Sus scrofa: one gene and its partners. The protein of the gene in region 1 interacts with the protein of each later gene in a pairwise test. Links are inferred from orthologs where the notes say so. Each region holds a gene or a part of one and is shown on either strand. Other genes may lie near its edges. The genes, in order: RIC8A, SH3GLB1 and EFEMP1.

Region 1 (3,745 bases):
GGCGGTGTCAAATCCTAACTGGAAAGAGCTCACGGCCCTTTCTCAGGCGAGAGAGGCTCCTCGCGGCGACACGGCCCGGGGTCCGAGGCCCGCCCGGCTGCGGTGCGGTTAAGGCGAGGACTCGGTGTGAAGCACGCTCCAGATGCTGCCGGCGGGATAAAGAGGGGATCAGTGCCTGGAACAAGCGAGCGCTGCAAAAATCTCAGGGATGAAGCACTTGAAGGAAAACGGGAAATCAGGAAGAAGAGTGGGAGCGTGAGGGGAGTTAGGGGCAGGAGGAGCCGGTGCTGCGACCTTGCACCCGGGCACTGACAAGGGGTCTGGCACAAAATAGATGCTCAACAAAGGCTTGTTGCGCAGTGGGTGGAGTATATGTTATTCACCCACTGTAATGGAGCATTCACTCTGTGTCGTTTAGTGCTGACAACCCACCGAAATGGGACCTTTTATCATCTCTGCTTTTCAAAAGAGGGAACTGGGTCCAGGCCAGAAGATGTGTCTGCTTACACAGCCAGGAAGTCCCTGCACATGATCAGGCTTTGCCTTCATCCTGACCTGGACCTTCCCTCCCCACTCTCCCCTGTCTCTCAGCCCCAACAATGATCTCTTTCTCCTACAACGGCCATTCCCACCTTTACTCTGCCGGCTCCTTCGGCCTTGAATGAACTTCCCCCACATCCCTTCCTGGCTCACTTCTTCCTCTGGTCTCAGCAAAAGCGACACTTATTCAAATCCCCTTGGAGCCCATCAGGCCCCTTTTTCAATCACAGCACTATGACTGCTTAAAGTCTTCCCGTTTTCCCGTTTTTGTTTTCACCTCTGCAATATAAGCTCCACGAAGGCAAGGACCTGTGGGTTCTGTTCACCCACATCCTGGTTCCTTGCATGCTGTAGGCCCTCAAACGCCTGCTTAATAAACAAAGTGGTCCCGGGGCTGCAAAGTCCTTTCCACTTCGTCTTTCCTCGGAACATCTCATTCGTTCTGTACATCAAGAGGGGTGTAGTGTGCGTGTAATAGCGGGGTGAGAAGCTAAGGCCCTCTCCCGTAGGGAATTCACTGCTCGGAGCCGGAGCGATTCAGGCCCGTGGTCGGATAACCACTGAGTCGGACACTGAAAGGCAACGTGACTAGACATCAAAGCCTTTAAATTCCCGAGGGCTCTTCTAGGCCTCTCCACTTTAAGGCGCGCGCAGCCCGGGCCCCCGCCCCGCGCGGCGCCGCGCGCAGCCCGGGCCCCCGCCCCGCGCGGCGCCGCGCGCAGCCCGGGCCCCCGCCCCGCGCGGCGCCGCGCGCAGCCCGGGCCCCCGCCCCGCGCGGCGCCGCGCGCAGCCCGGGCCCCCGCCCCGCGCGGCGCCGCGCGCAGCCCGGGCCCCCGCCCGCGCGGCGCCGCGCACGCCCCTTCCCGGCCTCCCCCGCGCGCCGAGCTAGGGCCGGGCGGGCCGTCTGGGGCCCAGAGCCTTGGAGCGAGGTACCTTCCGCTTCCTCGGGCCGGGGTCCCGGGAGCGCCATGGAGCCTCGGGCGGTAGTGGATGCTATAGAGACGGGGGAGGAGGACGTGGTTATGGAGGCTCTGCGCGCCTACAACCGGGAGGTGAGCGGGAGCTATGGACGTGGGACGCGCAGGGAGGAGGTGGGGCTGGGTGGGTCCCGCGCGCGTGGCCGGCGGGGAGGGTGTGAGTGGTGAGCGTGGCGGAAGGCTGAGGGTGTTGGCGAGCACGGCGGGGAGGGGCACCGAGTCTTTGAAGAGTTGCTGGGGGTGCCGTGGGGAAAGGGAGCCCTGTCTATTGAGAGCGGTGTCTGCGGCCTTGGAGCTCGGATTCTGCTTCGGTGGACCTGTGCCTCCTAATCTTCTGGGTCTGTTTGCAGAACTCCCAGAGCTTCACGTTTGACGATGCCCAACAGGAGGACAGGAAGGTGGGTGCTTATCAAGGGTAAAGGGGCAGGGACGGGTGGCCCAGGTAGAGGAGCCTGATGGAACCGCTCTATTCCCCTGCCCACAGAGACTGGCGGAGCTGCTGGTCTCAGTCCTGGAGCAGGGCTTGTCACCTTCCCGCCGAGTCATCTGGCTGCAGAGCATCCGCATCCTGTCGAGGGACCGCAGCTGCCTGGACTCGTTCACCAGCCGCCAGAGCCTGCAAGCGCTTGCCTGCTATGCTGGCATCTCTGCTTCGAAGGGGTCGTGTCCTGAGACTCTGGACATGGATGTTGTGCTCGAGTCCCTTAAGTGCCTGTGCAACCTCGTGCTGAGCAGCTCCGTGGCACAGGTGCTCGCCGCAGAGGCGGGGCTAGTGGTGAGGCTCGCAGAGCGAGTGAGACTGTACCGCCAGAGCAGCTTCCCGCATGACGTCCAGTTCTTTGACTTGCGCCTCCTCTTCTTGCTAACGGCGCTTCGCACTGATGTGCGCAGGCAGCTGTTTGAGGAGCTGCAGGGAGTGCACCTGCTGACCGAGGCACTGGAGCTGACGCTGGGAATGACCCCTGGAGAGGGACCCCCGGAACTCCTTCCTTCCCAGGAGACCGAACGGGCCATGGAGATCCTCAAAGTGCTTTTCAACATCACCTTCGACTCCATCAAGAGGGAGGTGGATGAGGTGAGGGCTGGCCTCAGCCTTCGGTTGGGCTTAACAACTAGGATGCTTCCGGGACCTGCCTCTCTGCCAGGTACCCTCAAGTTTCTGGGTGTCGGACCAGGAGGACATCTGCACAGCAGCGCTTGTCAGGAGGAGGCAGGGAGGTGCCCGTTCCGTATAAGGGCATCGAGGAATCAGAGCGCGTATCTGGCTCTTGCAACACCAGGAGTGCTGTGTGGTGTGGGGGCAGGCTGTAGGAGATTCTTCGGGGGGCGGGGGGCGAGAGCACAGAGTGACTTCATCCCAAAGGGACCTGTTGATGTCCCTAACCACGAGAGTGCTCTTAAGGTCACATAAGTGAGGCTGAGCAGCCAGGTGTGGTGGAGGAGATGCATGGCCTGCATGAGGTCTGGCCGTGGGCCAGGCAGTAGATGTTCAGCAGGCAGCAGTGGGGGTGAGTGGCACTTTCTCTCACAGGCACCCCTTTCTCTTTGGTCAGGAAGACACTGCACTTTACCGGCACCTGGGGACCCTGCTGCGGCACTGTGTGATGGTCACTGCTGCTGGAGACCGCACAGAGGAGTTCCACGGGTGAGGGTGGTGCCTGTTGGGCACACCGGGGCGGGCGTCTGCTCTCAGGTCTATATGGTGGTTTCCAGCCCTAAAGAGAGAGTTTTCATCCAACTGGGTGGGACCAGGCATTGGTGTGTTTCCACAGAGCTGCAGCACTTAGAACACACAGCTAGGACAAGAATTGTGAGCTCAGGACAGAATGTGCCACTGGACCTTGAACACTGTGGTATCCATAGAGCAGTGTGGTTGTCACTTTCATTTTCTGTGACCTATGCCTGGGCGGGTCCCAATTTGGACTACCTGTTGTTTCGACCCAGGTGTGTGGGAGGTGGGATGTCTGCAAGGAGGGCCTCCCTCTGCTCTGGTACTTGGTGCTACTCAGGCCCCTGATACTGGTTCGGGTCATGTGTGATCCCAGCAGGGGGCAACAAGAGTTGCGCCTGTGCTGGGGGCCTGGGTTTACCCAGCCCTCCTTTCCATGTGTCCCCAGCCACACAGTGAACCTCCTGGGGAACTTGCCCCTCAAGTGTCTGGATGTCCTTCTCACCCTGGAGCCACACGAAGGCTCCCTGGAGTTCCTGGGAGTGAACATGGATGTGAT
Region 2 (3,664 bases), on another chromosome or scaffold:
CAGCAATGCCGAATGAATGAACAGCGGGCGCCGCGGGGACTTGACTTCAAGTCTGTTCTGCAAACGTCCACGAGCGCCATCCGGGCGTCAGGCACCAGCGGGGCGCGGGACCTACAAGACTCATTTCACAGGTGCTGTAATTCTACGCTACAACGTCCCCATTTTCTCCTAAAACAAAACGGGGGGTTGGGGTTCTCTCTGTTCTGGAGGCTCAGACCAAACTGCAAACGTGCAGCGGCGCAGCGGCCCCGCGGCGCGCTTCTCGCCGCGAACGCCACCCTCCCTGAGGGGAACGCGCCCAGCTCCCGGCGCGCCCCGCGGCTCGGCGGCCGCGGTCCTGAAGGGGACGCTGTTCCCGCGATAACCTCGGCGGCCGCAGACCTGAAGGGGTCGCTGTTCCCGCGATAACCCCTGTAAAGGCCCCGCCCCGCGGCCCCGCGACCGCGGCCCTGAAGGGGTCGCTGTTCCCGCGATAACCCCCGTAAAGGCCCCGCCCCGCGGCCCGCGCTCGCTTCCTCCGTTGGGGACCCGGCCCCTCGCGGCGCGGACGCCGGCCGCTCTCCTGGAAGCCCACCGCGGCCCCGCCGGCGTTCGCGGCAGCTCCCCCTGAAGGGACAGGCCCTGCGTCCCGGCCGCCGCCGCTCGGGCGCGCGGCCGGCTCCGAGGCGCCGGTTCTCGCCGCCGCCCCGCCCTCCCCCCACGGAAACGACAGCTGCGGCGGGGCCGGCGCCGCCTCCCTCCGACCACGTCCGCCCCCGCCGCGCGCACCCCGCGCCCCAGCCCGGCCGCCGCGCCGCCGCCTCCCGGTAGGTCCGCCGGCCGCCGCGCCCGGCTGCCCCCAGGATGAACATCATGGACTTCAACGTGAAGAAGCTGGCGGCCGACGCGGGCACCTTCCTCAGCCGCGCAGTGCAGGTACCGCGCGGGGGGGAGGGCGGCGGCGCCCGGGGGGCGGGGAGGGGTCGCCGAGGCGGCCGCGCCCGTGGTGCCGGCTTCCGACCGCCCGCGGGCCTGCTGCGGCCGCGGCCCCTGAGGGCGCGGCCTGGTACCCTCTGCGCCCGGCGGCCGTTTTCCTGCCCTCCTGCCCAACCGCCGCTCGGGCAGGCGCCGCGGAGCGGGGCCGGGCCGGAGCCTCCCTTCCTCGGGAGGAGCGGGGCCGGGCCGGAGCCCCCCTTCCTCGGGAGGAGCGGGGCCGGGCCGGAGCCCCGCTTCCTCGGGAGGAGCGGGGACGGGCCGGAGCCCCCCTTCCTCGGGAGGAGCGGGGCCGGGCCGGAGCCCCCCTTCCTCGGGAGGAGCGGGGACGGGCCGGAGCCCCGCTTCCTCGGGAGGAGCGGGGACGGGCCGGAGCCCCCCTTCCTCGGGAGGAGCGGGGACGGGCCGGAGCCCCCCTTCCTCGGGAGGAGCGGGGCCGGGCCGGAGCCCCCTTCCTCGGGAGGAGCGGGGCCGGGCCGGAGCCCCCCTTCCTCGGGAGGAGCGGGGACGGGCCGGAGCCCCGCTTCCTCGGGAGGAGCGGGGACGGGCCGGAGCCCCCCTTCCTCGGGAGGAGCGGGGACGGGCCGGAGCCCCCCTTCCTCGGGAGGAGCGGGGACGGGCCGGAGCCCCCCTTCCTCGGGAGGAGCGGGGACGGGCCGGAGCCCCCCTTCCTCGGGAGGAGCGGGGACGGGCCGGAGCACACCTCGAGCTCGGCCCCGGGCTGCGGCACCTCTCCTCCTGCCTCTCCGACGCCGAGGCCGGGGCCTGGGTGCGCTCCCTCCCGGGCGGGCGGAGCCCTTGCGCGTCCGCGAGGGGCCGGGAGACGGCCGTCCTTGCAGCACCCCCGCCCTGTCCTCCGGGCTCGCTCCTCGCCGGGTCCGAGAAGGAAGTTTGCTTTCCTAACCCTCTGTCGGGACAGCTGCCAGCACAGCGCCCCGCAGTCCTGCGCCCGGCTGCCCGCGTCCGGACTCAGCCAAGGCCGCGGGCTGGGGTCCCACTGGTTTTCAAAGTGGGGAGCACAGGCAGTGGGGCAGCGAGAGAGGGGGTGGGGTTCTTGTCGCGCCTCCAGTCACAGGGACATTTTTCGAAAACACTTTAGGGGGAAAGTTGAGTACCTCGCGTATTCAGAAATTAAGGAAGTGTCAGTCCTGGGAACTCGGGACAGTTTTCTGCAGGCGCCACCCACACTGTGCCACCGCGGGGAAATCTGTGAGCAGGTGTGAATTTCACAGTACGGGGTGTAAACAATCTGGCGTTTTAAGTTAATGGCACAGTCACAGTAGCAACAGCATTCTCTTTTGTAAACAGAAAACAAAAATAGTTTTCTAATGTAACATACCCGGCTGGTACTGAAATGTAAGTCATTGTGAAACTTTACTGCTTTCCTAGTTGCCTTTAGCCCACTTTTTTTGGCATAGTTGACGCTGCACGATGCTTGACTTGTAGAAGAATGGAAGAATTAGAGCAAGACACTAGCTGTTTATTTTAGTGCAAATTCTCAGTGATTCTGGTGCTGAATGCAGATTTGACACTAGGTAATGCCACTTTGAAATAAAGCTGGATGTTTTCGGGTACATAATCCCCACTGCTTAAGTAGGACATACGTATTATGGTTTGATTGAAGTGGTTGATCAACTTCATGTAAAAAATCTGGCACAGCTCTCAAGATGTGCTTCCCACGTTAATTTCAGTTATTCACTGTTTCAAATTCTCTAGGAAAAAGTTTGAAAATTCTATCTTCTGTTAGTTATCAAATAATTTTCAGTCTTAAATACTTCACTGTCTGCTCCACATCCGCATGTTACTGCTGTTTTGGCCAGTAGTGATACAGCAATAAATAAAATCGCCAAAATTTCTGCCCTCCTGGAGTTTACAGTCGAGCGGGAAAAGACAAACTAAGTACATTAGAGAAAAAAGCCAAAAAAGATTAGTTTAGGACAGGGGTGGTGGTTGCTGCTGTTACATGAACATATTGGAAAGGGCAGTTTTTTCTGTTAGGATCAAATTCAGAAAGACCTCAACGAAGTGACACTTCTCCCCTTTTTTTGTTTTTTTGTTTGTTTGTTTGTTTCCTTTGAGGAAAAGCATTTCAGGCAGAGGTAACAAATGCAGGATCTGAGGTTGCAGGGGTGCTAGAGAGACCAGTTAGGGAGTTGTGGCCCTAGGTCAGGCAAAAGGTGATGTGACTTAAATAAGAGGAGGTTCAGAATCTGTCCAGTGTTGAGTGTCATATTGGCTCTGGGTTATGAGAGAAAGATGAGTCAAGGATGACTCTGAGGTTGTGGCTTGAGCCATTTACTAAGAAGGGAAAAATTTCAGGAGGATCAGGCTCCTTTAATGTGTCTTTTTGTATTAAGTCTGTAATATATATTGCGAAATATTTATGTACAAACTATGTCATGTCTGAGAATTGCTTTAAAATATTTCAGAAGAAAAAATGTGGATAATTGAAACAGTATTGGCAAAAGGTTGATACTTGCTGACGCTTGGTTATGGGTTCATGAGGTTTTATTATACTACTATACATTATGTGTGACATTTTCCATGGTTTTTTAAATAAAATATGTAAGGAAAAAGAGGTGGTTGCAAAATGGAACGTGAAATCTGGAATGCTATGTGGTAATTTTCAACAAAATACTGCATTCCCATTTCATTATTTAGTCAGTAACAGAGTTCCTGCTCTAAATTGAGT
Region 3 (3,745 bases), on another chromosome or scaffold:
TTATTTATCTTCAGCAGAGGAAGCAACTACATTTACCATTAAGTTGACAAAATATTTATACTAAACTCCATTTGATTTATAGTTGATCTGAACAACAAAGAACATTTGCCAGATGAATATTAACATTCTAGGGGTTATATGGTACCAAAAAAGTGAGATAATGTTTATTATCAGTAATTGACATTAGCTCACTTTTAAGAGTTTTATTTTCAAAAATTGTTCACATTCTTTTGAGTAAGATTACTTAATTTTAAATTGGGAGCAAGTAGAAAAATATGTTTCTCATATTCTGATCCAGGACAAATGCCATTTGCCTCACAACACTGATTAAGGACTAGAAAACACAAAACAGAGGTGCAAACAAACTCACAGAAGTGAGGTCAGCACTGCCCTCTGTTATCACCATATCCTCTCCTGGCAGTGGGAGGGGTCAGATGCTGTTTTCAACTTTATTAAACATTGGTTATATCTATTCAATTAACTAATGAATCAAAGGTTACTTGGAAATATTGGATATGCTAATTAGATTATTCAAAGCCAAATTTCACACAATGCATTTTAAACCCATTTTATCAAATACTGCATCCTGGTAACACATAAAGTCTCTTTGGACAGTTGTATATGTCTTATCAGTTATATCATAAATGAATAGCCTTTATAAAGTCAGGAAAACCCATTTACATGAGAACATAGTCACATGCACAAATGAGGAGCTGGGCTTTTGTGATGTTTAACATTCTTATTTGACTTGAGCCCTCCTCCTCATGTTTTGGTTTCATCTGCATATACATGGGATTCAAGCTTTTCCAATTACATTCATCACTTTGCTGAATGTGTAGAGAGCTTGTAGGTTACTTTGGCTTTTGTTTTAAAGGGGTTTACCTTTTTAGCCTTGCATAAATCCTTACATTTTGGTTCCTATCCCAAATGGCGATCTAAATGAACTTTTGGAGGGACCAGCAATTTACAACGAATTTTAAACATGAACTTTCCTAACGTTTGTTTAATTTATTACCCTCCACGGAGAAGAGCCCACATAGACTGGCAGGAATGGACAGTCTTCCTTGTGCCACAGAATTCGCTGAACCGCACTTATCTCAAATTCCATCACCCCTTACCGTGTATGTGATGGTTTCTTCGGTGTCCTGTGACTTGACCAACGCCAGAGTCAGCATAGTTAGGAAAAGGACTTTCAACATCGTGAATCTCAAAGAAAACACGGGACAAACCGATGCTTAGTATCTGCTGCCGGGGAAATATACTTTAGCTGTAAAGTAGCAAGCAAGGTAGAGAAGGCGGAGGAGGCGGAGGCTCCATCATACCCAACTTCCAAACTACTTTCTCATATCCCCTCCCCCACCTCAAGCTTTCCTTGGCCAAAGGCGGCACCAAAGACTGTGAAAGGGTTGCAGAATTACATTCACTTTACTCTGTCGGCTGCGGTGAATATATATAAAGGATGTACAGCATTTTATACTGTTCCTTTGATTCTGCACCTACAAAACAGGCTCCAGAAAGGGGGTGAGAGAGAAAGAATACATGGTAATTCATTTCAAAGGAGAAGGTGCATTTTTTTGCGAGGGCGAAGGTGGAGCAGCAAATCTCATATTCCTTTGAACGTTAAGTCTTTCCTTGTATGCTCACCTCAGCTAGTGAGGCTAGTGAAATTCCTAGCTCAGCTCAGCAGAGATACCTGTGAACCAATATGAATTACCTTGGCCTCAAACTTTTTTTTTTTAAACAAAAGACTGAAACAAATCTCGGGAGCAATCTCCTCCCTTAGTAGAATACCTGCCTTTCAGAGCTCGTTCTTACATTCCTCAGCTCTACTCTCTAAGTGGCATTTCCACGCGTTCTCTGTGCACAGCTTTGTTTAAGAGCCCTCAGTTTTGTAGAAGAGCAGCCCAAAGCGCCTCATTCCCTTGTACCTTATCAATCCCTCTGTCCCTAAAACGCTACCTTCAGGATTGGGTCTGCCTAGGGCCGGAACTGGGGGACCACACCGTGGCCCTAAGTACCAGTTCCAGGGTGGCCCCAGGGAGGCGAGGTCCCCTTCTTAACAGTATGTTAACTGGCGGCCATCCCTGGGGAGCTGCTCAGAGCTCCAGCTTCTAAGCAGCTCCGGTGGAATCCAGGTGCGGCTTAAACCTTACACATTGGCCCCCTAAAACTTTCAAAACCTGTTTATGGGCAAAGCCCTGTCGTCTGATTGTCTGCACGCACACACATGCCCATCCAAACAGATGTCACCCGGTATTCGCACATGTTGACACATCGCATTCCGAGACCGCACACCTCCACCTCCCTCTTTGCCTGAGAGATCCTGCACAACGGGGGAGCAGTTCTCAGGTCCACTGCACCCCTCAGGTCACCCCACTTACTCCTCGGCGCGCAGCCCGGCGGGCGCTTAGCGCGCCGGCGTGACCCCCATTAGGGGCTCCTACCTGCGCGGCCGTGCTGCGCTCCGGGCCCGGGCAGCGAGGGGAGAGAGCAGGGGAGGGCAGCCCCGTGGGTCTGAACTGGCGAGGTCTGGCAGCGGCCGCGGAGGCAGGAGGAGGAGAAAGGGAGGGAAAGGGGAGGAGGAGGAAGAGAAAGGGAGGAAAAGGGGAGGGAGAAGGAGAGAGTTGAGGGAGGCGCAAGGGCTGAGCTGAGCGCTGCAAACCCCGCTGAGAGCGTGCCGCGCAGCAGGGTCCGCGCCCCCTCGTCCGAGGGCCCTCCACCCGCCCGCGCTCACCTGCTGGCCCCTCACCCTTAGTTCTCAGACAAGCTAGAACTTCAGGCGGAAGGTGGCACGTTTGGCATGTGATGTCCGGGGTTTGAATCAGCCTTTGTGATCCTCTAGCCTCCTGGGCGATTTCTCGTGCCCTGTGAGGGTCCTGAGAAATCGCTCCCACCCCCCCACTAAGTGATCCTAAGAGTAAATTAACCCCATTCATAGAACTGATTCTTTCGGTTTTTCTTTAAGATACTTCTTTGGGTTTGGGGGGCGGGGAGTAGAGGAGGGTCTGCTTCTCAGAGGTAGAAAAAAGATCATTCATTCATTCAACAAATATTGTGACTTACTATGTGTCGGGTGTTGGGAATGGGTCAAGTAGAAGTCAGACTTAGAAAATTGTGAAGTTGGGTTGTTTTGGGTCTCTCAAATACCTCTTTTTTAGGAGCCTCTTTTCTCATCTACTACTTCTCTTCCCTCCACTGGTTCACTGTGGGAGCCCCAACACTGGTCATTGAAAGTTGGACATTTCACTCTCACCTTTCATTACTAATGGTGGAATTTCAGGAATCTGGAAAGAGGAAAAGAAAATATTTTTTCTGGCTTCTTCAAATCATACCACACAGATTGTGGTTATCTCTGAAAGCTCCAACTCTAAAGTCAAATTAATAGTTTGCCTCCAGGGCAGTTATGCCTTCTGAAGCAGATACACTTTCATGAATGACATAATATGCAAACCAAAGGTATCAACTCTGACCTCAATGGAGGCAGAGGGTGGGAAGGGCTCCTTGCCCTTCCCCACTGACCTTAGGGAGAAAGACCTTATAGTGTACAAGATGGAGGCTGTCAGGTGGAAGCTTCTCTCCTTTGGGGTATGCAGTGGGTTGCCCAGACCTTGCCAGTTTGGTTGCAGGCCACACAATATTGGACAAGATCAAAGGAGCTTCACAACCCTGAACCTTACTTAGTGGGTGGGGTTTTGCTAATATTGAAGAAATTTGGTACCCAAATTCAAATGCCAGTCATTAATAA

What was found.
Region 2: the proteins of RIC8A (region 1) and SH3GLB1 interact in binary tests that used the Homo sapiens proteins (3 or more experiments, as listed by UniProt). The link is inferred for Sus scrofa from reciprocal best matches to the Homo sapiens genes RIC8A and SH3GLB1.
Region 3: the proteins of RIC8A (region 1) and EFEMP1 interact in binary tests that used the Homo sapiens proteins (3 or more experiments, as listed by UniProt). The link is inferred for Sus scrofa from reciprocal best matches to the Homo sapiens genes RIC8A and EFEMP1.

The regions. Positions count from the first base shown.
Region 1 is NC_010444.4:30,786-34,530, forward strand, and holds the start of RIC8A (synembryn-A), read left to right. Parts: upstream 1-1,385; 5' UTR 1,386-1,508; coding exon 1,509-1,592; intron 1,593-1,867; coding exon 1,868-1,915; intron 1,916-2,001; coding exon 2,002-2,592; intron 2,593-3,070; coding exon 3,071-3,162; intron 3,163-3,634; coding exon 3,635-3,745.
Region 2 is NC_010446.5:129,392,651-129,396,314, reverse strand, and holds the start of SH3GLB1 (endophilin-B1), read left to right. Parts: upstream 1-843; coding exon 844-915; intron 916-3,664. UniProt on the Homo sapiens protein: May be required for normal outer mitochondrial membrane dynamics. Required for coatomer-mediated retrograde transport in certain cells. May recruit other proteins to membranes with high curvature. May promote membrane fusion.
Region 3 is NC_010445.4:85,406,495-85,410,239, reverse strand, and holds the start of EFEMP1 (EGF-containing fibulin-like extracellular matrix protein 1 precursor), read right to left. Parts: upstream 2,564-3,745; 5' UTR 2,445-2,563; intron 1,207-2,444; 5' UTR 1,200-1,206; coding exon 1,119-1,199; intron 1-1,118. UniProt on the Homo sapiens protein: Binds EGFR, the EGF receptor, inducing EGFR autophosphorylation and the activation of downstream signaling pathways. May play a role in cell adhesion and migration. May function as a negative regulator of chondrocyte differentiation.